4 linked regions of the Canis lupus familiaris genome follow. The protein of the gene in region 4 purifies or fractionates together with the protein of the main gene of each other region. This does not show direct contact. Links are inferred from orthologs where the notes say so. Each region holds a gene or a part of one and is shown on either strand. Other genes may lie near its edges.

The links.
Region 1: the proteins of MAPK6 (region 4) and delta(3,5)-Delta(2,4)-dienoyl-CoA isomerase, mitochondrial-like purify together in Homo sapiens (affinity purification with mass spectrometry; 3 studies listed by BioGRID and IntAct, with this or other methods). This does not show direct contact. The link is inferred for Canis lupus familiaris from reciprocal best matches to the Homo sapiens genes MAPK6 and ECH1.
Region 2: the proteins of MAPK6 (region 4) and ECI2 purify together in Homo sapiens (affinity purification with mass spectrometry; 3 studies listed by BioGRID and IntAct, with this or other methods). This does not show direct contact. The link is inferred for Canis lupus familiaris from reciprocal best matches to the Homo sapiens genes MAPK6 and ECI2.
Region 3: the proteins of MAPK6 (region 4) and CEP170 purify together in Homo sapiens (affinity purification with mass spectrometry; 3 studies listed by BioGRID and IntAct, with this or other methods). This does not show direct contact. The link is inferred for Canis lupus familiaris from reciprocal best matches to the Homo sapiens genes MAPK6 and CEP170.

Annotation. Positions count from the first base shown.
Region 1 is NC_049222.1:115,068,342-115,074,187, forward strand, and holds the start of delta(3,5)-Delta(2,4)-dienoyl-CoA isomerase, mitochondrial-like, read left to right. Parts: upstream 1-2,614; 5' UTR 2,615-2,658; coding exon 2,659-2,782; intron 2,783-3,197; coding exon 3,198-3,405; intron 3,406-3,549; coding exon 3,550-3,638; intron 3,639-5,846. UniProt on the Homo sapiens protein: Isomerization of 3-trans,5-cis-dienoyl-CoA to 2-trans,4-trans-dienoyl-CoA.
Region 2 is NC_049256.1:5,644,854-5,649,918, reverse strand, and holds part of ECI2 (enoyl-CoA delta isomerase 2), read left to right. Parts: intron 1-845; coding exon 846-948; intron 949-1,637; coding exon 1,638-1,758; intron 1,759-3,747; exon of another isoform or gene 3,748-3,764; coding exon of another isoform or gene 3,765-3,863; intron 3,864-5,065. Other genes in the region: C35H6orf201 (uncharacterized protein C6orf201 homolog), read right to left, coding at 3,765-3,863. UniProt on the Homo sapiens protein: Able to isomerize both 3-cis and 3-trans double bonds into the 2-trans form in a range of enoyl-CoA species. Has a preference for 3-trans substrates.
Region 3 is NC_049228.1:34,236,533-34,241,597, reverse strand, and holds part of CEP170 (centrosomal protein of 170 kDa), read left to right. Parts: intron 1-353; exon of another isoform or gene 354-495; intron 496-1,140; coding exon 1,141-2,970; exon of another isoform or gene 2,971-3,770; intron 3,771-5,065.
Region 4 is NC_049251.1:18,012,306-18,017,370, reverse strand, and holds part of MAPK6 (mitogen-activated protein kinase 6), read right to left. Parts: intron 4,159-5,065; 5' UTR 3,520-4,158; coding exon 2,965-3,519; intron 1,262-2,964; coding exon 1,117-1,261; intron 1-1,116. UniProt on the Homo sapiens protein: Atypical MAPK protein. Phosphorylates microtubule-associated protein 2 (MAP2) and MAPKAPK5.

The sequences.
Region 1 (5,846 bases), on a different chromosome or scaffold from region 4:
CCTCCCACCTGGTCTCTTGAGGAGGAGCAGGCAGGCCAGGACACAGCACAGCTGCAGGCCCTTGGGAGATACAGGCCCAGCCGGCGGGCCGGGCCAGGCCAGGCCAGGCCGTCGCAGCCCTGGGAATGCTGCTGGCAATTAAGCAGTCTTGAAAATCTTGGGAGGTCTGGTGGTGTTCTTCATGGACCCTGCCCAAGCAAGCTGAATCTAGTTGGAGAGTCACTTAAAAGGTAAATGGTGCTGAAAATACTAAAAACCTCAAGAGATTAAAGAAAAAAGCCTTAATCCTGTCAAGTAAATACTTTTATGAGGTTTTATTTTCCAACCTTATAATAAAAAGTGAAATTCTGCTTCCCAGCCCCTTTAACAATTTTTGATGTGCTTCCCACCACAAAGTTTTACTTTTAACAAAACCCTTTATACTATACAGTGTTTTGTATCACCTACAGAGCTTTCTCCTTATCTTTACCCCTGCAGTGTGTCATGGGGATGTGTCCTAATTTCCCTGGTCCTAAAGGGAAAATCTAGTTTCTTGCTATTGTAAACCATTGCTATATGCATGCAAATACCTCAAGCCAACTTCCCCATACTCCTCTGGAGGTAAGTTCTTAACACTGGAATTGCTGACTTAAAAGATACTTCCTGGGTGGCTCAGGCTCAGTCTGATGGTTGAGCATCAGACCCGATCTCAGGTCTTGGTTTCAAGGGTCATGAGTTCAAGCCTGGCGTTGGGTTCCACACTGGATGCAGAGTCTACTTTAGAAAGCTAACAATTGCAATGTGATAGAACTCTTGAGATTGTGGTAAATGGGAACATGTGTATATGGTTGGAGTGGGGCGTGGGGGAGGGAGGGCTGTAGGTGGAAGGAACCTACTTTAAAGACCTTGATTCATGCTGGAAGGAAGAAATAGTCTGCAGAGAACAAGTGCAAAGGTCAGCTCATTGTGCCTTTTTGATGCATATGCACCTGGAAGCTCACTTTGGCGCCTGGTGAGCTCAGTCAGTGGAGCATGCTACTCTTGATCTCAGGCTTGTGAGTTCGATTTCTTAAAAACAATCTTAGAAAAGAAAACCCACTTTGGTAATTTGTTGTGAAGTCATTTAAACTGATTATTAACATCTGAAGTCACATGGCATTTATGGAACGAACAAACTGCTTCACCAGGGTTTCAAACAACCTTTGCAAAGGAGAAACTACAGTTGCCTTGCAGCCATAAACTTCTAAGTCCTCTAGGATTTGTTTTCAAGTAAATCATGGGGGTAAGAATGTTTTCCCGTTTTGTCTCCCAGCACCCAGTCTTGTTTTAAGATTTTATTTATTCAATGAGAGAGAGAGGCAGAGATACAGGCAGAGGGAGAAGCAGTCTCCATGCCGGGAGCCCGATGCGGGACTCGATCCCGGGACTCCAGGATCGCGCCCTGGGCCAAAGGCAGGCGCTAAGCCGCTGAGCCACCCAGGGATCCCCCAGCACTCAGTTTTATCCCTTGTCAGTTTTGAAGATCCTCTGTGTATGTATTGTACTCCATGCACAAACAGCCATATATAACCATCTTTTTTACACCAACCAATCATGCTAATTCTATTCGGGTGCCTGGCTGGCTCAATTGGTCAAGCATATGACTCTATCTCCAGGTTGTGAGTTTGAACCCCATGCTGGGTATAGAGATTACTTTAAAACATCCTAAAGAGGGGCCACCCAGGTGGCTCAGTCTGTTAAACATCTTCAGCTCAGGTCATGATCCCGGGGTCTTGAGATCCAGCATCTGGCTCCCTGCTCAGTGGGGAGTCTGCTGCTCCCTCTCTCCTGTTTGTGCTATCACACACTTGCTCTCAAATAAAATCATAAGAAATAAATTCTAAAGAAATTTAAAATTGTTTCCTATCCTGGCGTCTGCACAGTGGCTTCAGAGCTTCCCATTATATAGATAACCATAAACAGTTCTCTGTTGATGGAAGTTTGCCAAAAGAGCTTAACCCGTCTATGACACATTTAAGAAGGCAAGGTATTTCCTACAATTCCATTTGCCTGGAGGCTTCTGTCTTGGTGCACAATTCCCTAAAGAGCATGCTTAAGCAATTTTATGGCACTTTTGAGGTTCTTGGGTAACTGGCTTTTTCTGAGGAGTTTTATTTTTTAAAGAAATTATTTTAAGCACATGAACTTCAGAGCCGCATAGATGCCCTCTTTGGCACTCCTGAAGCCCAGATACCTTCAACTAGTGACTTTCCCTCCCCCAAGCTCCAATTTCCTCAGGGCACAATCAAAAATAATGCGAACTCTTGGTGGTGTGCGAGTTCAAACAGATTGCAAAGCGCGCAATGTTGGCTCCTCTATATTTTCATTCTCTTACAAGGGTAAGCTCAGTACTAGATAACTTTTTTTTTCCCCAGTTAACAAGTTCCCAGTGCATGATGACAAAATTGCAAGGCTGCAGTTACTCTGCCATTATGTCCTTGAACATTTTCAACAGTCCCCGGTGTCTCCCACCATTATGCAACAGCGCTGGGCTGAAACGTGCAGCAGCAACAATACGCCAGGTTCCCACTGGGGCAAAGGGCGCATTACTAAACGCCTGTTTCCGGTTGCCCTTAATAAAGATGGCGGAGGTATGGGCGCCAGCGCCATCAGGCTGCGGCATCGGTGCCCTCGCCAAACATGGTGGCGTCGTACCCGCCCCCTTGGCTTTTTCCTGTCTGTCGGGCTAGTTCCGCTAGCTCCTGGGTTGCGATGGCGGCAGCGATGGCGGCTTCTCGCAGTCTCCGAGATCTGCTAATGCGGCGTGAGTCACCTCGACCTCTGGAGTCCGTTGCTCCGTCGTGCCGTCATAAGCGCCATTGGATGGGGAGGCCTGTCGCGGGTGCCGGGCTGAGCACCTTAAACACAGGGGGTGCATATGCTCCCAACCAAAGAGCGCCCTAATTCTGTAAGCCTGTGCCTTACAATTGGGTCGCTTCGCGTTCCCCATGTAGGGTCAGCCCCACGATCAAGGGTCTGAAGAAGTCCTCTCACTGAGGCCACTGATAAGTGCCCTCCTAATCTGAAAGTTTGTATCCTCCTAAACAGGTTTCTTAGGGACCCGTGTTCCCCAGTCTAACATCACTGAAAGGAAATGGGGCCCTTCTGCTCTTGAAGGCACTGTGTCCCCAACCTGGGGTCCTCACCTCAAAGCCTCTTCTTTTCCTTTATCTCCCCAGGACTGGTGGCGCCCACCCCGCAGGGCCTCAGCCTTTGCCTTCGCCCCTTGAGCTCTGCTGCGCAAGATGAGGCCTCCACAGCAGCCCCCAGAGAAGCACCAGGCCACAGCTATGAGTCCCTTCGGGTGACAGCTGCCCAGAAGCACATCCTGCACGTGCAGCTGAACCGGCCTGAGAAGAGGAATGCCATGAACAAGGCCTTCTGGAGGTAGGGCCTGCGGATCATGGAGGCCTGCCTGCAGGAGGAGGCAGGGGCTGAGGGAGTGGGCAGGAGTGGGGTGTGGGGGACAGAGTTCAGGAGGGCACGGGATACCCTTCCAAGACACAGCCCTTCTCTCCTTGCCCCGCCCAGAGAGATGGTGGAGTGCTTCAACAAGATAGCACAAGACCCTGACTGTCGGGCTGTGGTGATCTCTGGTGCAGGAAAAGTATTCACTGCAGGTACCAGCTGCTCTCCACCCTCACCCCTGCCAGTCTCCCCTGCTCCTGGCATTAGAGCAGTGCTTCCTAACTAGGGTTCCAGCTTCTAACTTCCACTTGTATCTTTTTCTTTCTTTAATTTAAAACATTCAAATACCACGGGGGGCCTGGGTGGCTCAGTGGTTGAGCATCTGCCTTCAGCTCAGGTCATGACCCGGGGTCCTGGGATCGAGTCCCACATCGGGCTCCCTGCAGGGAACCTGCTTCTCCCTCTGCCTATGTCTCTGCCTCTCTCTGTCTTTCATGAATGAATGAATGAATAAATAGATAAATAAATAAATAAAATCTTTATTTTATTTTTTTAATAAATCTTTTTTTTTTAATTTTTACTTATTTATGATAGTCACCGGGGGGGGGGGGGGGGTGGCGGGGCAGAGACATAGGCAGAGGGAGAAGCAGGCTCCATGCACCGGGAGCCTGACGTGGGATTCGATCCCAGGTCTCCAGGATCGCGCCCTGGGCCAAAGGCAGGCGTTAAACCACTGCGCCACCCAGGGATCCCAAATAAAATCTTTAAAATAAAAATAAAACATTCAAATACCAAAATGAGTCCAATAGAACATGACTGAATGATGAGCTTTGAAGTCTGATTTGTGGCCTTGACCAAGGCCCTTAACTTATCAGTCTGTTTTTGTTTGTTTTTTAATGTCACTAAAGTGTATTATAATAACATGCTTTCAACACACACGCACTGATTTCCAGTTACATGTCTGTTAGGACTTTTAATTGTCCCACGCATCTGTTCTTCAGGCTGGATAATTTCCATTGACCAAATTCCCTGAATCCTTTGTCATCCTAATTCTACTGTGAAGCCTATCCAGTGATTTTTAAAATTTTAGATACTGTGGTTTTTGGTTCACAAATTTTCACTGGGTTCTTTTTTTATATTTGCTGTTTCTCTACTGTAGCTTGTTATTGATCACAAGCATGTTCTTTGCACTGTTGCTCCTAGTTCTAACCACTGCTTTAAAACTCTTGTCTCCTGGTTCCAACATCTGGGTCACATTGGGGTCAGTCTATGTTCATTATCTTTTCTCTTGAAAGACTGAGTCTCATTCTCCTGTTTGTTTGCATTTGGAATAAATTCTGGGTTGTATCCTGGATATTGGGATATGGAAAGACGATGTGGAAACTCTGGGTCCTATTCTCTACCTCTGGAGACTTGAATTTCCTGTTCTAGCAGCTTAGTTGGAATCAGTTTTTAGATCTCTTGCTGGGCTGCATGCATGGTTCATGGGTCAGCAAGAGATTTGGGCAGAGATGGTCCATAGAATTTGGGGCTCCTTTCTCTGGCTCGCTTTTTTCTGGAATATCCCCCCTCACTTTCCAGCAGCTACGGTTACCCTGGACTCTGTTTTCTGGTTCTTCAGGCACAACTTCCAGCCTCCCCTTAGTCTAGAAACTTTAAAAATAGCTAACTCTCGGGGTGCCTAGGTGACACAGTCGATTAAGGGTATGACTCTTGGTTTCAGCTCAGGTCCTGATATCAGGACCGCAAACTTGAGCCCCGCTCAGACTCCAAACCCAGTGTGGAGTCAGCTTGAGATTCTCTCTCCCTCTGCCCCTCTCGCTCATGTTCTTTCTCTCTCCCTCTCTCAAACAAATAAATAAATCTTTAAAAAAAATTTTTTTTTAAAGAACTCCAACTAATTCTCACGGTGCTAGTCCCTTCTTTTAAGTGACAAATTCCTCCAGAATCTACCCTGTGCCATCAGGTGGTGGTTTATATCTTGTCGACCCAAAACATGCTAGTTGTCCTATGTGGGCAGCTTCCATTCCAGAAGTGAAGCAGTAGGTGGGTACATTGCTCTCTGCACAGGGCCCAGCCTGCTGCTGGGGACACAGTGGTGACCGAGGCAGCCCCGGGCCCTGGCATCACGGAGTGGCCAGCTCAGTGGGGAAGACAGACAGTAAACAGGCTATTTCTCGTTGTCTCCCCTCTTAACATCTTTACGTGTCCCCTCTCTTCATTCTCCTCTCGTTGATCTTTTTTTTTTTTTTTTTTAAATTTATGATAGTCACAGAGAGAGAGAGAGAGGCAGAGACACAGGCAGAAGGAGAAACAGGCTCCATGCACCGGGAGCCCGACATGGGATTCGATCCCGGGTCTCCAGGATCACACCCTGGGCCAAAGGCAGGCGCTAAACCGCTGCGCCACCCAGGGATCCC
Region 2 (5,065 bases), on a different chromosome or scaffold from region 4:
GAGAATATAGGTGAATCTTTAAGACCTGGTTCAGCAAAGAGCACACAGACACAACAGCACATATTAGAGGATTCGGTTTATAGAATTTCTAAAATAGACAAAAGTATTCTGTGGTGACTGAAGTCAGAAGGTAGTTGCACTAGGGCAGGGTGGGGGTGGGATAGCTGGAAAGGAGCTGCAGGGAATTTTCTGGGATGGTAGAAATGGTCTACATCTTGTTTCAGATGGTGATCACACAGGTATTTGCAGCCATCAAAAATCACTGAACCAAGCGTTTAAAACTGGTGTTCTTATATGTAAATTATGCTTTAACACAAAACACCTTCAGTGGCTCTTAGAATAAAAGTCAAAACTTCATGGGTCAGCAAAACCCCACACAGTCCGTCCTGCTTGTCCTCATCCTCCACTGGCTTCCCCTCTGGCTTTTTCTGCTGTGGCACACTGGCCAGAGTCCCCACCTTCACAGGACCTTTGCACATGCTGTTCCCTCTGCATGAACTCTTTCTAACCCTCTTCTTCTAGCTAACATTGCCCGTCCTTCAGCTCTCAGTTCAGTTGTTCCCTCCTTAGGAACATCCCTCCCTAAACTGCCTGATGAGAACAAATCCCCTGTTACATACCCTCGTGCCATCATCAAATACTTCTTTGTATCAGAGTTGCATTCTCCACATTTGCGTGTATGCTTTTAAATCAATGTCCAGCCTACTTACTAGTCTATAAGTTAGGACAGGAGCCCTAGCTGGCTCACCAGTGTACTCCCAGTGCGTGCCGTAGAGCCTGGCACACAGTACATACTCAGTCATTACAGAACGAATGAATTGTGAATCTGTTGATTCTATTTACAGGAAATGGTGACTATTACTCTAGTGGGAATGATCTGATGAATTTCATGAATATTCCCCCTGGTGAAATGGAGAAGGAAGCTAAAAATGGTGCCATCTTACTGAGGTAAGAGTGACATTTGTCTGATGCCAGAGAGCTCATTCTTACTCATCAAAGTGTGATTTAGTCCAGAAGAAGTAAGATAAATGCTTCTGTGTGTTAGTGTAATTAATGTGTCTTTGGACAAGCATATTTCTCCAGACTGCCCCTGTCAATATGTGGGCATTGATTCTATCACTTTAACTTCTGTTACCCGTTCAGCCTGCTGCTCCACAGGAGATTCGATTGCAAAGCACTAAAGTAAACTACAGTTATAAAAAAAGTTCTCTCATAATGAAGCAAGCAGAGCGATTTAGCAAATTCTCATTTGGCCAGAGGAATGCATGATTTCCATGACTGCTGGTAACGGGACAGGTGAAATAGTCTCAGCATAGAGGCCACGAAGGCCTCTCTCTTCCTAATTCATTTTGCCCTACAAGGTTTCGAATTCCCACTGAGCTATAATATTGTAGCATATACTCAGCCAGCCATCCTAATCTTGAAGTCTGCGACTGACAGCCCTGACCAGGCTGCCCAGAATGCGCGACTGAGCCACGGTCAAGCTTATAGGACCCACTGTGTAAGCTTCCATCAAATGCCATTCAGATGGGTGTCCAGCCTGGCCAGAGTTTATTTCAGACCCATGCTGTCTTGCTTGTGCTTCAGTCATATGCTTTGGGACATTTAAATGCGGTTTTGTATTTCCATTTCTGTAGGGATTTTGTAGGCTGTTTTATAGATTTTCCTAAGCCTCTGGTTGCAGTGATAAATGGTCCAGCCATAGGAATCTCCGTCACCATTCTCGGGCTATTCGATCTTGTGTATGCTTCCGACAGGGTAAGTCAGCCCCCAGAAACTTACTGAGTCACGAAGTAAAAATGAGGTCCTCTGAATTCTCTTTTGTTGTTGCTAGTAGTAAACAGATTATATAATTTATAGTAGAATAGACTAAATTTTGATTTTTCCCAAAGAATTACTCTAATTTAATTCAACGTGTCTTATTTGTCCTTCATTATTAACTTGGGTTTTCCTAAACACCAATATGGTTGTGAACATTGTCCCAACTATTTTGGTTCTATATTCTAATCAAATTATGTAACAGTCACTCAACTTTTGGTTTTCCAATTAATCTGAAATGGGAGATCTGGAAAGCTTGTTATGGTGGGGAAATAGCATTTTTTCATGTTCTGCAAGTGGATAATGTGATACTTTATTCCAAGTAAACAAATTGTGGACTTTAAAATTTTAGAGTATTTGAATTTTTTTAATAAGAAGGGACTTCCAAGCCCTCACTCCCTTCTATGCAAATAAGTAAACTGAAGTTCAAGTTACTTCCCTGAACAGTTTAGCCTTGGGTTCACCACTGAATTGCATTGATTCTAGTTTCTGTTCTTCTGATAGTATTAATGTATGTCATAGTAGAAAATAAAATGTTGAAAAATCTGGAAAAGCATACAGAAAAGGGTAAAGTTGAAAATCCCTTCTTATCTTACCACTCAGAGATAATCAGTCCCTTGACTCCTGGAACCCTAGGCTCTCTGCAGTTCTGTCGTTATGATCAAAGATGTGATGACCATTTGTCTCAGAAATTTTACTCTAGATTTTTTACTATGGAACTAAGAACCACTTGTAGGGTTATCAGATTCTTAGAGTACTTTTTGCTTATGCAGTGGTAAAATTTCCTGCTCTACAACCTTGTGGGAAACATTCGGTTTTTGCCACTGAAGAGATTCCTGGTTTCATTTGGAGATGTTTTCCCCACTGATAGACATAACCATATTTTAAGATTCTTATCTCTTGGGTTCGTTTTTTTGTTTGTTTTTGTTTTTGTTTTGTTCTTTTGCTGGATTCAGTTTGATTGGATTGGGCATGTTGTTAGACCTAATTGTTTTTAATAATTGTCCCATGAAAACATCAACTAAGATTCTAGGGGCCAGGCTGCCTAACCTTCATAGATGGAAGTTTCTGCTCATGTGAGAGGACTGATTGATCAACCAGTCTTGACCAGGGGTGGGGGTGGGGTTGGGAGTTCCAGACTTAAACGTGGGGGTCTCATTCTCCAGTACTTAGAGAGCAAACATATCATCCTATTTGAATATTGTCCTGATTCTCCCTCAGAATTAAAAATGACTGTCACATGTGTCTTCTTTTTCAAGGTTCCTAGGACTTCTGTCCTATGATACAAATTGGAATTGAAATTGAAAGAGAACACACATAGATCATTTAAATGCTGAAAGATTTGGCCCAGAGTAAAATATTTGACAAACAGTGACCACTTATAAGAGTTCACCCAACTGAATTAAACCAAGGTTCAATTTAAAATCAGAAAAAGACACAGAAGAAAGAACCTGTGAAGAAGAATGCATTTTATAGGATTTATCATTGACTTCATAAACAGATACCATATTGAATGTGGATTAACACTCATATAATTGAATCCTTCTTTATTATGGGCGGTAGTTAACAATGCCTATTAGTTTCCTTGTCGGCAAATTGTGCATTTTCCCTACGAGGTAATAAAAGGGTGGACATCTTAAAAATTATAAATACTTGAGAACTCACCACATACAGGGCGCTCTGTTGATGCACATTATGCATATTCGCTTAATATACCAGCAGCCCCGTAAGATAGCTACTTTTGTCTCCATCTTATAGAGTTTGCTATGGCAGAAAGAAGTTAAAAAGCTCCCAGAGTCACCAAGCAGTCTGATGCCACAGCCTAACACTTAATTACATCTACTGTTTCTGAAAATAAAAGCTAAATGCTTACTTATAAGGATGATTATAAATAAGTTAAATGTGGTTTACTATCAGTTTTTCACATACCTGTCTGCGGCCCTTAGCTATGGCTGGTGTTTCCTTTCAATTTCCCACTTACACGCCTTAGGCTGTGACTTCTCAGTATGTCCTGACTTCTCAGTATATCTTCTTGAATAAACTTTCTTTGAGGAGGAAATGATAGGTGACATTAGTAACTTTTTATTTTACATTTTTGTTTTCGTTTATATACTACATACATTATATATTTATGTCTTCTAACAATATTCATTAAGAAATAGCACCACATCTGATTATGGGAAGTGAAGTCTGAATGTTCTGTGTACATATTATCAATTACCAATTAATTTCCTTTCATAAAGACTTGTCATTCGTCAAGAAATACACAAAAATATTTGTTAAAAAAATTCGGGGGGACACTCCTGGGTGGCACAGTCAGTTGAGCTTCTAACTTGGCTTCCAGTTTAGGTCATGATCTAGGGATCATGATCCCAAGGCTCCATACTCAGCAAGGAGTCTGCTTAGAGTTTCTCCCTCTGCCCCTCCCCATTCCCTTCCCTCCCTCTCTCTCAAATAAGTGAATAAATCTTTTTTAAAAAGCAAAACAAAAACAAAGGACACCTGAGTAGCTCGGTTGGTTCAGCATCCAGCTCTTGATCTCAGCTCAAGTCTTGATCTCAGGGTTATGAGATCAAGCCTAGCAGTGGGCTCCGTTCTAGGCACTGAGTCTACTTAAAAACAAACCCAAAAACTAAAGATGGCTCTATAGTCTAAATAACCAATATTGAAATAGATTCTACTGTTTAAAGCCAATTTAATAACCTCTCTGAGGTAAAATCAAGACAGATGACAGAATGAGGAAACAATTTTCCAATTGGTATAATAAAGGCTAATCTCTCTAATATATTTTTTAAAATACAATTATAAAGCAATAGATCAACAACTTAGTGTAAAAATGGGCAATGGGGAGGAATATATAGCCCACAGAAAATTAAGTATAAATGGCCCTTTACAACATAGGAGAAAGGCCCTATCAAGAAAATTACTTGCAACCAGAATATGTAAAGAACCACAACTCGATAATAAAAAGACAACCAATCTAACTTTAAAATAGTGGACAAAGTATTATAATGGTTACTTCACCAAAGAAGTTAAATAAAAAAAGATAAAAAGCACATGAAAGGATGCTCAATGTCATTAGTCGTTACAGAAATGTAAATTAAAACCACAGGATACTACTAACACCTCCTGGGATGGTTCAAGTTAAACAACTGACAGTAACAAGGTTCCGTGAGGATGTGGAACAACCGGGACTCATCCACTGCTGGGAGGAGTGGTCAACGATGCACACGTTGCAAATTGTTTG
Region 3 (5,065 bases), on a different chromosome or scaffold from region 4:
ACCCACAGAAGTTAGGTCTTGGTATCTTGCCTCCACTTACCCTCAAAGATGAGAATACTTTATATGTTAGTTTTTATTTCCCTAAACAGATGTCCCTTTTCTCAGAAATATATTCCAAGTATAGTAGTCAGCAAAATCCTCAGGTATTCTCAAATTCTCTCACATAGAAATATCAAAGTGTATATATTCTCACTGTTTTCTATGTAACTGTGAAAAGAAAAAGTGATCATGTGTTTCTATATGAGGTGTTAATATACCAGAACACCATAATTTTAAAATCCCTCAGTTTATAAAAGTACAACAAGTTCTGTTACTTTGTTTCACACTTAAAATTTTTCAAAATCTTGGGGTACCTGGGAGGCTCAGTTGACGAAGCTTCTGACTCTTAATTCAGCTCAGGTCATGGTCTCAGGGTCTTAGGATCAGATGCTCCACAGTAGGCTCTGCGCTCAGGAGGGAGTCTGCTTGTTCCTCTGCTCCTACCCCTGTTCCGAGCTATGTAATAAATAAAATCTTTAAAAACAATCCTTTTAACAGAGTTAATTTTTTTTTTTTTTTTAGAAAACCTTCTAAAGTCTTGCATTTTCTGTTTTACTTAGGAAATCCAAACTTGTCATTCTTTCAGATAGATTACAATGCTCATTAAAAAACCACGTGGAACTTGAACTCATGACTCTGCGATCAAGAGTCAGATGCTTAACCCACTGAGTGACCTAGGTGCCCCTAGATATATTCTTCTTCTGTACTATGTGATTGAAACTGTTTATTAGGCATTCTCTGTGCAATTCTACAAAACATTTTCTTGAGCAACATTTCATGGACCTTATAAAAACAAGAATAAACACAGTGACCTTCCCTGCCATAAAGTATATTGAAAGAGAAAGAGCAACAAATGACCCTAATTTTCATGTCATAAAACTGCCTTTTTGACTACCCCTGTTAGTAATCTGCCTGTTTGTATCGTGGCATTGTACTTGCTCTTGAAATGGCTCTATCACGATGCTGGCATGTTTATTCAGAGTTTCCTTGTACACTAAGCCATTTCTTAGCTTCCACTGCAAAATCTAATGTGATATGATATTATTTTTATTTGTACTTTTTTGCTCTAATACATTTCTTTTTTGTGGTTTTATTGTATAGATACAGATATCAGCGAGTCTGGCATTTCATTACGAAGTACTGGCTCGGCAACTTCCCTGGCTAGTCAGGGAGAGAGAAGGAGACGCACCCTTCCCCAGCTTCCAAATGAAGAAAAGTCTCTTGAGAGCTCCAGAGCCAAGGTTATAACACAGAGGTCAGAGATTGGAGAAAAACAAGACACAGAACTTCAGGAGAAAGAAGCTCCTACACAGGCATATCAGAAGGATAAACAAGATGCTGACCGACCCCTGAGTAAGATGAGCAGGGCAGTGAACGGCGAAGCTGTTAGGCCTGGCGGAGATAATAAAACCCTTCTTCACTTGGGCAGCTCTTCTGGAAAGGACAAAAGTGATACTGATAAGGAAGCTTCTGTGGTAAAGCAGACATTGGCCAAAATTCAACAGGAACAAAAGGAGCAGGCACAGTGGACACCTAGCAAGTTGTCTGCTTCCAAAAATGTTTCAGGTCAGATAGATAGGTGCCGGGAGGAATCTTTTAAACAAGAGTCACAACCTCAAGAAAAAGTTCCAGGACACTCTACCAGCAAAGGAGAAAGGGTGACACAAAATGAGAGCAAGCGAAGAAAAGCTGAGGATGTTCTCAAAGGTCAGAGTTCAAAAGGTGGAGACAAGAAGGAATCCTCAAAGTCCTTAGTGCGACAAGGAAGCTTCACCATAGAGAAACCTAGTCCCAACATACCCATAGAACTTATTCCCCATATAAATAAGCAGACTTCATCCACACCCCCTTCTCTGGCATTGACAGCTGCCAGCAGGATACGAGAAAGAAGTGACTCTATGGATACTGATTCCAGTATGGACACAACTCTTATTCTGAAAGACACAGAAGCAGTGATGGCTTTTCTGGAAGCCAAACTGCGTGAAGATAATAAAACTGATGAAGGCCCAGATACTCCCAGTTATAATAGAGACAACTCTATCTCACCAGAATCTGATGTGGACACAGCTAGTACAATCAGTCTGGTCACAGGAGAGACTGAAAGAAAGTCAACCCAAAAGCGAAAGAGTTTCACAAGTCTCTATAAAGATAGATGTTCCACAGGTTCTCCTTCCAAAGATGTTACAAAATCATCATCTTCAGGTGCTAGGGAGAAAATTGAGAAGAAAACAAAAAGTCGTTCGTCAGATGTAGGCTCAAGAGCGGATGGCCGTAAATTTGTACAGTCCAGTGGAAGAATGAGACAACCTTCAGTAGATTTGACAGATGATGACCAAACCTCTAGTGTACCTCATTCTGCTATCTCTGATATTATGTCATCTGATCAGGAAACTTACTCTTGTAAATCTCATGCCAGGACTCCACTTACCTCAACTGATGAGCATGCACATTCCAAACTGGAAGGAAGTAAAGTAACTAAATCTAAGACTTCTCCTGTAGCACCTGGATCATCCAGTAAATCAACCACTCTTCCAAGGCCGCGACCTACCAGGACTTCCCTCTTGCGCAGAGCACGACTTGGCGAAGTGTCCGACAGTGAACTGGCTGATGCTGACAAAGCATCCGTTGCTTCTGAAGTGTCCACAACCAGTTCCACGTCAAAGCCCCCCACAGGAAGGCGTAACATCTCTAGGATTGATTTATTGGCTCAGCCTCGTCGAACAAGGCTTGGCTCATTATCAGCTCGCAGTGACTCTGAGGCAACGATCTCTAGAAGTAGTGCCTCTTCGAGGACTGCAGAAGCCATCATTAGAAGTGGAGCCAGATTAGTACCTTCAGATAAATTTTCTCCTAGAATTAGAGCTAACAGTATCTCTCGACTATCAGACTCCAAAGTCAAAAGTATGACCTCAGCACATGGCTCTCCTTCAGGTAATTTGGATCCAGACTTTTTATAATATTAGCATATTTATTTCATGTTTTGGGACTCCCTTTTAAAAAAAAATTAGATGTCTAGTGTTAATTCTAAAAATATTCAACAGAAAGGTTATGCTATAAGAGAATATTTTCTATAAAATTATTTTAGCTCATTAGTAAATGGAAGATTCAGAAGTTACATACACTTCCAATTAATACCCTGGGACAAAATAGTGACTTCAAAATTAGTATCTGTTTAGGAATTTTAATTGTCTGGTTGACGAGATATCTGGATTCATGTGTCGAATTAGAGGAGGAATAGTATCTGGTTTAAATAATAGGAATTAACAGGAATAGGGATTCTTAAATATCCTCACGTAATTCAAAGCCCTTTGCAGAAGCCCTTTATCTGAAGAAAAGTAGTATGCTTAGCAGAGCTAAGTGAAATAATTGCTGTTTTATCCTTGCTTTCCCATTTATGTAGAAATGTTTTATATTTTTTGAAGTTAAATCTGTTTATAGTTGGGACAGGTGAAAACTAATCCTTAATTTATTTCAGTGGAAGAAGATGGATTCATGAGATAATCCCTAAGTATATATGGGTCAAACTGGGCTACAGAAACCTGATTACGAGCACTATCTCATAAAACACCGTTCTGTCACTTAACTATAGTAATTAGCTGTCAATGAATACTAATCATTCCAAAAGCTGTTTCCTCCCCATGCAAATTGAATGGCCTCTGGGATACTTGTCTGTTGGTGTACTTCATATTCACAGCTGTAGCCCAGGAGAGTACGAGTGTGTGACCATAGTACTAACACAGATGCTTGTGTGTACCCTGTACGCATGGACTCTTACTTCATAATCAGCCTCACCCCTGGGTGGGGCTACAAGGGCCAGTGAGGGGAAGCCAGCTGGTCAAAGACTTAGAGAGCTCTTATTAGCAAGCATCCAAGTGAGCCTAAGTCTTGAGGGAAGAGTGAGGGAAGGTTGGTATACAATCCCGTGTTCTGACTTTCATGTCTACCACGGTGGAGTCCACAAGACTCAAAACTAACAGTGCTCCTCATGTTCTGTTTTCACTTTTAATTCCTCCTCTCTTGTCTTCACTGCTGTTCCCTCCCCTGCACTCACAGCTCCCTCTCTCCTGGTCAGATCTGTGGTAGGAGTGCAAGTAGGTGGGAAATAGGGATTATGTAATCAGGACTCCAGAAGAATAGCTGATTTTCCTTCATGCCCCATCGTCCCTGCTTCTGCACTGGGAGCTCTTGTTGCTGGTTCATGCAGTTATTGCAAGCATTTTAAAACTGACTGCTGTCTGTCGGTTTGTGTTTACCCAGTATTGGTGTTCTGTTCCTTATGGCTCTACCTCTTCAATTCACATTTCCTTTGTGCTGCATTCTATGGTGTGTACTGTGATAGAATTTCTTCTGTCACATGGCTTGTTTGATCACCTCATCTCTATTTCAGTACATAGAAATGTTCCAGTTTTCTCCTGTCTCACTGTAAGCTGTAATGCAAGCCGTATGTCACCAAGTAGCATGGAACAGTTCCTTCTGTACTGGTTCTCTGGTCTGTGACACATGAGTGATCTGTTTAACATGAAGGGCTTCTGTGAGGTGCAAGCCAAAGAGGACTACTTAAGCAAATCTAAGAAACTGTTATAAGATGCTATGTCTTCAAAGATAAATTTTGTTTTCTCCTTTGAATACAGAACTTGATAAACATGCAGTTTCTATATCCAAAAAGTACCTTCAATTGCTTAACGATATTCCCTAGTACCTTTTGGCCCTTCTTCATACTTAATAGTAGTATATTAAATAATTAGAACCATAGAATTAAAAACTGGAAGGATTATTCAGTTTACGTAACTTAGGCCAAGAGATGCAACAACCTGTCCTGGTCACATAGCAGAGGCAGGGACAGGATGAGAAGCCCCAAGGCCTTTTCATTCCCAGCCTCTTGCTGTTTCTACCACATCCTGTCTGGCTCTCAGAAATACTCTGCTTACAAGCTTCTGGGCAATGCCTGGAATTTATTGGATTATTTCCAGAAGTATATACAAGGCCAACATACAATATATTTGGTATGTTGTCCACTATAACCTAT
Region 4 (5,065 bases):
ATATTTTTTTGTAAGTAGATCCTGCTCCATTCCCTTTCTTCTGCTCTTAGCACAATTTGGGAGTGGTGAGAGGGTCATTCTAAGATTGGTTAGAGAGAAAAACAGTAACGTCAAAAGGGAGAAAAGACCTAATTCACCACCATGTCAATTATCAAACTAAAAAATCTTTAATACCCTATTTCCGAATGGGAATTCCTCTGCCTACTTTTCTAAGTATTCTGGCTCCATCTTAAGTAGTCATAAGTATGTTCATTATTTGACAGCTTTTTTCATCCAACTTTTCTCACTAATTCATGCATGTACATGATTTCTTTCATCAATCTTTTCTCACTGATTCAGGCTCATACCTTCATTTATATAGTACCATTCTCTCTCTCTTCCTCCCACCAAAATTCTTCACTATTCCTATGTAATGAAAAATCTTTTTACTCCATTATACCTTTTGTTTTAGCCATCATTGATGAAGACTCTAAGCTTGTAGCTCTTATACTCTGCACTAAATAATTTTATACAGACTCCTACTTTGCTTTACAACACTTGATATTTTTCATGGACTATTCACCCTTTCCTATGTTGGACTAAATTCTCTCTCATACTTCTATAGACTCCCTCATAGCACCAAACTCAGCAAAAAATTCCTTGTTTGGTTGTTTCTGAAAGGTCACAGCAGTCAGATGACAGGATATGGCAGTTCAGACATCAGAGATGATAGAGGACAAAGAATTACTGGATTTCCAATGACAGCTAAAAATTTTCACTAAGAGTAACAAACACTGACAACACTGGGCAACTCAGGCATCATTTAAGATTACCAACACGTATTGTGAGTCTAAAAAATAAAAAATTATGTTTAAGAAGAAAAACAAAATAACACTAGAATTTTGACTAAATTTGCTGAGTGAATATATTCAGTGAATATACGGTTTCTAAACTTTTTAAAATATTAAAACACCATTTTATCTTTTCATTTTAGTATCAGACTATAATAAATTATGTTAAATCTTATATAAATCTTGATTCATAGATACATACAAAATTATTTCTCTTTGAGGTAATTTTTTCCAAATATTTTTTTTCCAAATATTTTTTTTCTCCAAATATTTTAAAATTTCTAACCTGCAAAGAGGGTTTTACCAGTCAGCATTTCAGCAAAGATGCAGCCTGCAGCCCACATATCAATGGCTTTAGTATAATTATTAGGAGACAGTAAAAGACGTGGAGACCTGTACCATTTAGTAACCAATCCTTCAGAAAGATGACCCTGAAAAAAAAGAAAACACACATACTTTAGTATTTTACTTTAGCTGAAGAACAGTACATAAAACTTGACTCATTAAAGAATCCCTGATCTTAAAAAAAAAAAAAAAAAAAAGTGATATCCTAAAACAATACAGTTGATTTATATGCCTATTTTCGAGGCTCTTGCACTTTTCAGGCTCAATAGGGGGTTAAACTCTCCCTGGGATATATGATCCATAAGATGATGTTCACATGAAGTCTGCTGACCAAAATATACTATATATACTATACAAGATTAATGCTGACTATATCACATATTCAAAGCATGTTTCGAAGAGAAGCTATTTTTCACTTCAAGTCTTAAGTTACTTGAGGAGGAGGGATGCTTTAAATCAATGAGGGAAAGGTAAAAAAGAGCACCTAGGGTGCTACTTATAAACCAATGCCAACCTCCTGACAACGCAGGGGACCTGGCTCTATTATATATCCCATTCCTAATCAATTTTACTACTTTACGGTTATAAAGCACTTAACAAAAACAGTTATATACGTATACGACCTTACTTCGTCCTTAAAACAGGGTCAAAACAACCCTGAAAAATTATGAAGGTAGATATTATGCCATTTTAGAGGGACGGTAACACTCATAGATTAAGGAATCTACTTAAGGTCAGAAATGGAACTCAATTTTAACTAGTTTAACTCTTAGTTCAGTGTTCTATCCACAATACTTCATTGTTACCCATAAAAAAGATGTGATGGTTGTCCATTTCATTTTAATACTATATTTCTACATTAAAGTTTTAAAAAAATTAAGTTACACTTAATGTGAGATGCTAACATGTGAATGAAAAGATCTGTTTGTTTAGGCATGTACTATGGGAATCCAAGCAAGCAGGGAGCTCCAAGGGGTTCTTTATAACCAGAGGAGTTCCACTTTAATATTTTAAACAGCAGGATCCCACAGACAATTTCATTTGAAAACTAAAAGACCAAAGTTTGGCTCAGAAAACAATTTACTTCTTATATAAAGTTAAATTGTTACCTAAAGTACAGTTACTATGGATCCCTTAAGCTATTCTTACTGCCCATTTTATCTCTATACCAAGTTAGATATCAAACTAAATTAAATTTGCCTAAACAAAGCATAACAGAACAGTAAAGACTCAAAAGGACAAAAGACCTAAATATTGAAATAGCATCCCCTCTTACCTTCGGATAGGACCACAATTTTGCCCTAAACACATAAGAATTTATCTCACTTTTAAATAAGGGAGAGTTTCAATTATAATAAATAACCATATACTTTTAGGATCCCACTCCAACTTCCTTTAAAAAAAAAAAAAAGATGTATTTATTTATTTATGATAGACACACACACACACACACAGAGAGAGAGAGAGAGGCAGAGACACAGGCAGAGGGAGAAGCAGGCTCCATGCTAGAAGCCCGAGGTGGGACTCGATCCTGGGACTCCAGGATCACTCCCTGGGCCAAAGGCAGTGCCAAACTGCCAAGCCATCCAGGGATCCCCCCAACTTCCTTTTAAACATATGGAGATTCTGAATGAAAGTAGATCTGTATCAGAAAAAAAGGTACTACATAAAGTTTAATACAATTAATGGAGAAAAAAAATCTGTCACAGTATATAAAGAAAATACAAGTACCTAATTCCTGATGATGTACACCAGTTTAAAGGTCTGTCTCAGCTAGCTTTCCACATACCTTATGGGAATAATGGGGATCCATGATCCGTGCAAGACCGAAGTCACCTATCTTCAGCACCAAGTCTTCAGTATTAATGAAAAGATTAGCTGGTTTGAGATCTCTGTGCAGTACGTTTGCAGAGTGAATATATTTGAGCCCACGTAGCAGCTGATACATGAAAAGCCTGGCATGCTCTTCCAGTAAAGGGCCCTGCTCCAGCACATTAGCCAAGTCTGTCTCCATGTACTCCTGAACAATGTAAACACTGTTCAGTTCAGTAAGAGAGCCCACATCGTCTGTTAACTGGCTTCCGCTAGGACCAAGAATTTCAAACACTTTCACAATGTTATCATGGTCAAGTCTTCTAATAATTTTGATTTCACGTAGAGCATGTTTGACACTCTGGGGATCAGTAAGGACAATTTTCTTGATGGCTACTCTTTTGTCACAGTCATTGTCTACAGCAGAAAAAACCAAGCCATTGCCTCCACAACCCAATGGTTTTAAGTCCATATATCTAGAGCCCAGATCAAAACCATGAATGTTCATGAGACTTTCAAATTTCTCTGCCATTTTGAAACCTTTACTATTGCCTTTTTTTCCTTTCGAATTGTTGAACTTGTGTAAACAAGGAAGAAAACTGACATCAAAAGGAAAGATCTTTCAAAAAAGGAAAAGAAAAATAATTTTGCTTCCACAGCAAGATGATTTCTTGATGTTCATTGCATATGCCAACCAGGCCCGTTGAGTTCCCCTTAGATTTAAAGCTCAAAAAGCTCTACTCATATTGAGAATTAAAAAGGTTGCAGTACTCATAGTTCAAGAAAGGGGCAGCAACTCTGCAGACATTTAAAGAAAACACTCAAGAAACTCAAACGGAATGAAATGACATACTATGCACTCAGATTTAACTGTGCTAAACGATTTAACATTTAACAAAAATGTGAATAAATATGCACACAACAGGCTTCTATGAACATTCTCCTCACAGTGCAGATACATTCAGTGTTGGACTGGTCCTGAGCAGCATCATTCTAAGGTGCTGATAAGCACTATTTCCGTTTTGCCTCTTCTCTTCCTTTGTTGCTGTATATTTCAACAGGAAGCCCTGGTGGCTGTTGGTTAACAGAAGATGTCTTTTGTTAGTGATCAGGTGGCTCCAGCTCACCACAATCACAATCAAAGCTACCGTCCATCTTACTCTGATAAAACCTAGAGGATGAGAAAAAAAGAAGGAAAAGAGTCACCACTGCAGGAAATACTAAGTACTCTTCAACTTTGTAAAATGACACGAACTGGGCATTTAGCTATAAACGACTACTGGTACATTCAACTTATTTATAGTTACTAAATGGAAAGATGACCCTCAATCAAAAATAGCTATGCATGTTGTAAGCAATTCACATGTACTAGGCTCAGACTCTAGGTCCCACCATACTAGATTCTTTGTAATATTTAGTCATTGGGTTGTAACATTTCTTAAATGCCAATAAGCAAAGGAAAGAAGGTTCACGGCATTTTTACAGAATCTTTAGAATTTTTTTTTTTTTGAGGAGTACAACATGAGTACCATTTCTCTAAAAAAAACAACAACAACATAATAATAAGCCTGCAAAGGGTTAGTTCCTTAAAGAACATGTTTACTTATTAACTATGCTGATCAACATCCAATGGACAAAAATCTAGCAGTACAAATGAGAAATCTGCAGAGTATGCTCTTCAATTTACAAAAGAGTGAACTTGGGGGTGCACAGTGGCTCAATTGGTTAAGCATCTGACTTTGGCTCAGGTCATGATCTCAAGGTCCTGGGATCAAGCACCGTGTCTGGCTCTCTCCTCCCACCAGTGAGTTGGTTTCCCCCTCTCTGCACTCACATGCGCTCTCTAAACTCAAATAAATAAAAATCTGGGACGCCTGGGTGGCTCAGTGGTTGAGTGTCTGTCTTTGACTCAGGTCGTGATCCAGGGGTCCTGAGATCAAATCCCGCACTGGATTCCCTGCAGGGAGCCTGTTTCTCTCTTTGCCTATGTCTCTGCCTTCTCTGTGTCTCTCATTAATAAAAAAAAAAGTCTTTTTTTAAAACTTAATAAATAAATAAAAATCTTTATTAAAAAAAGT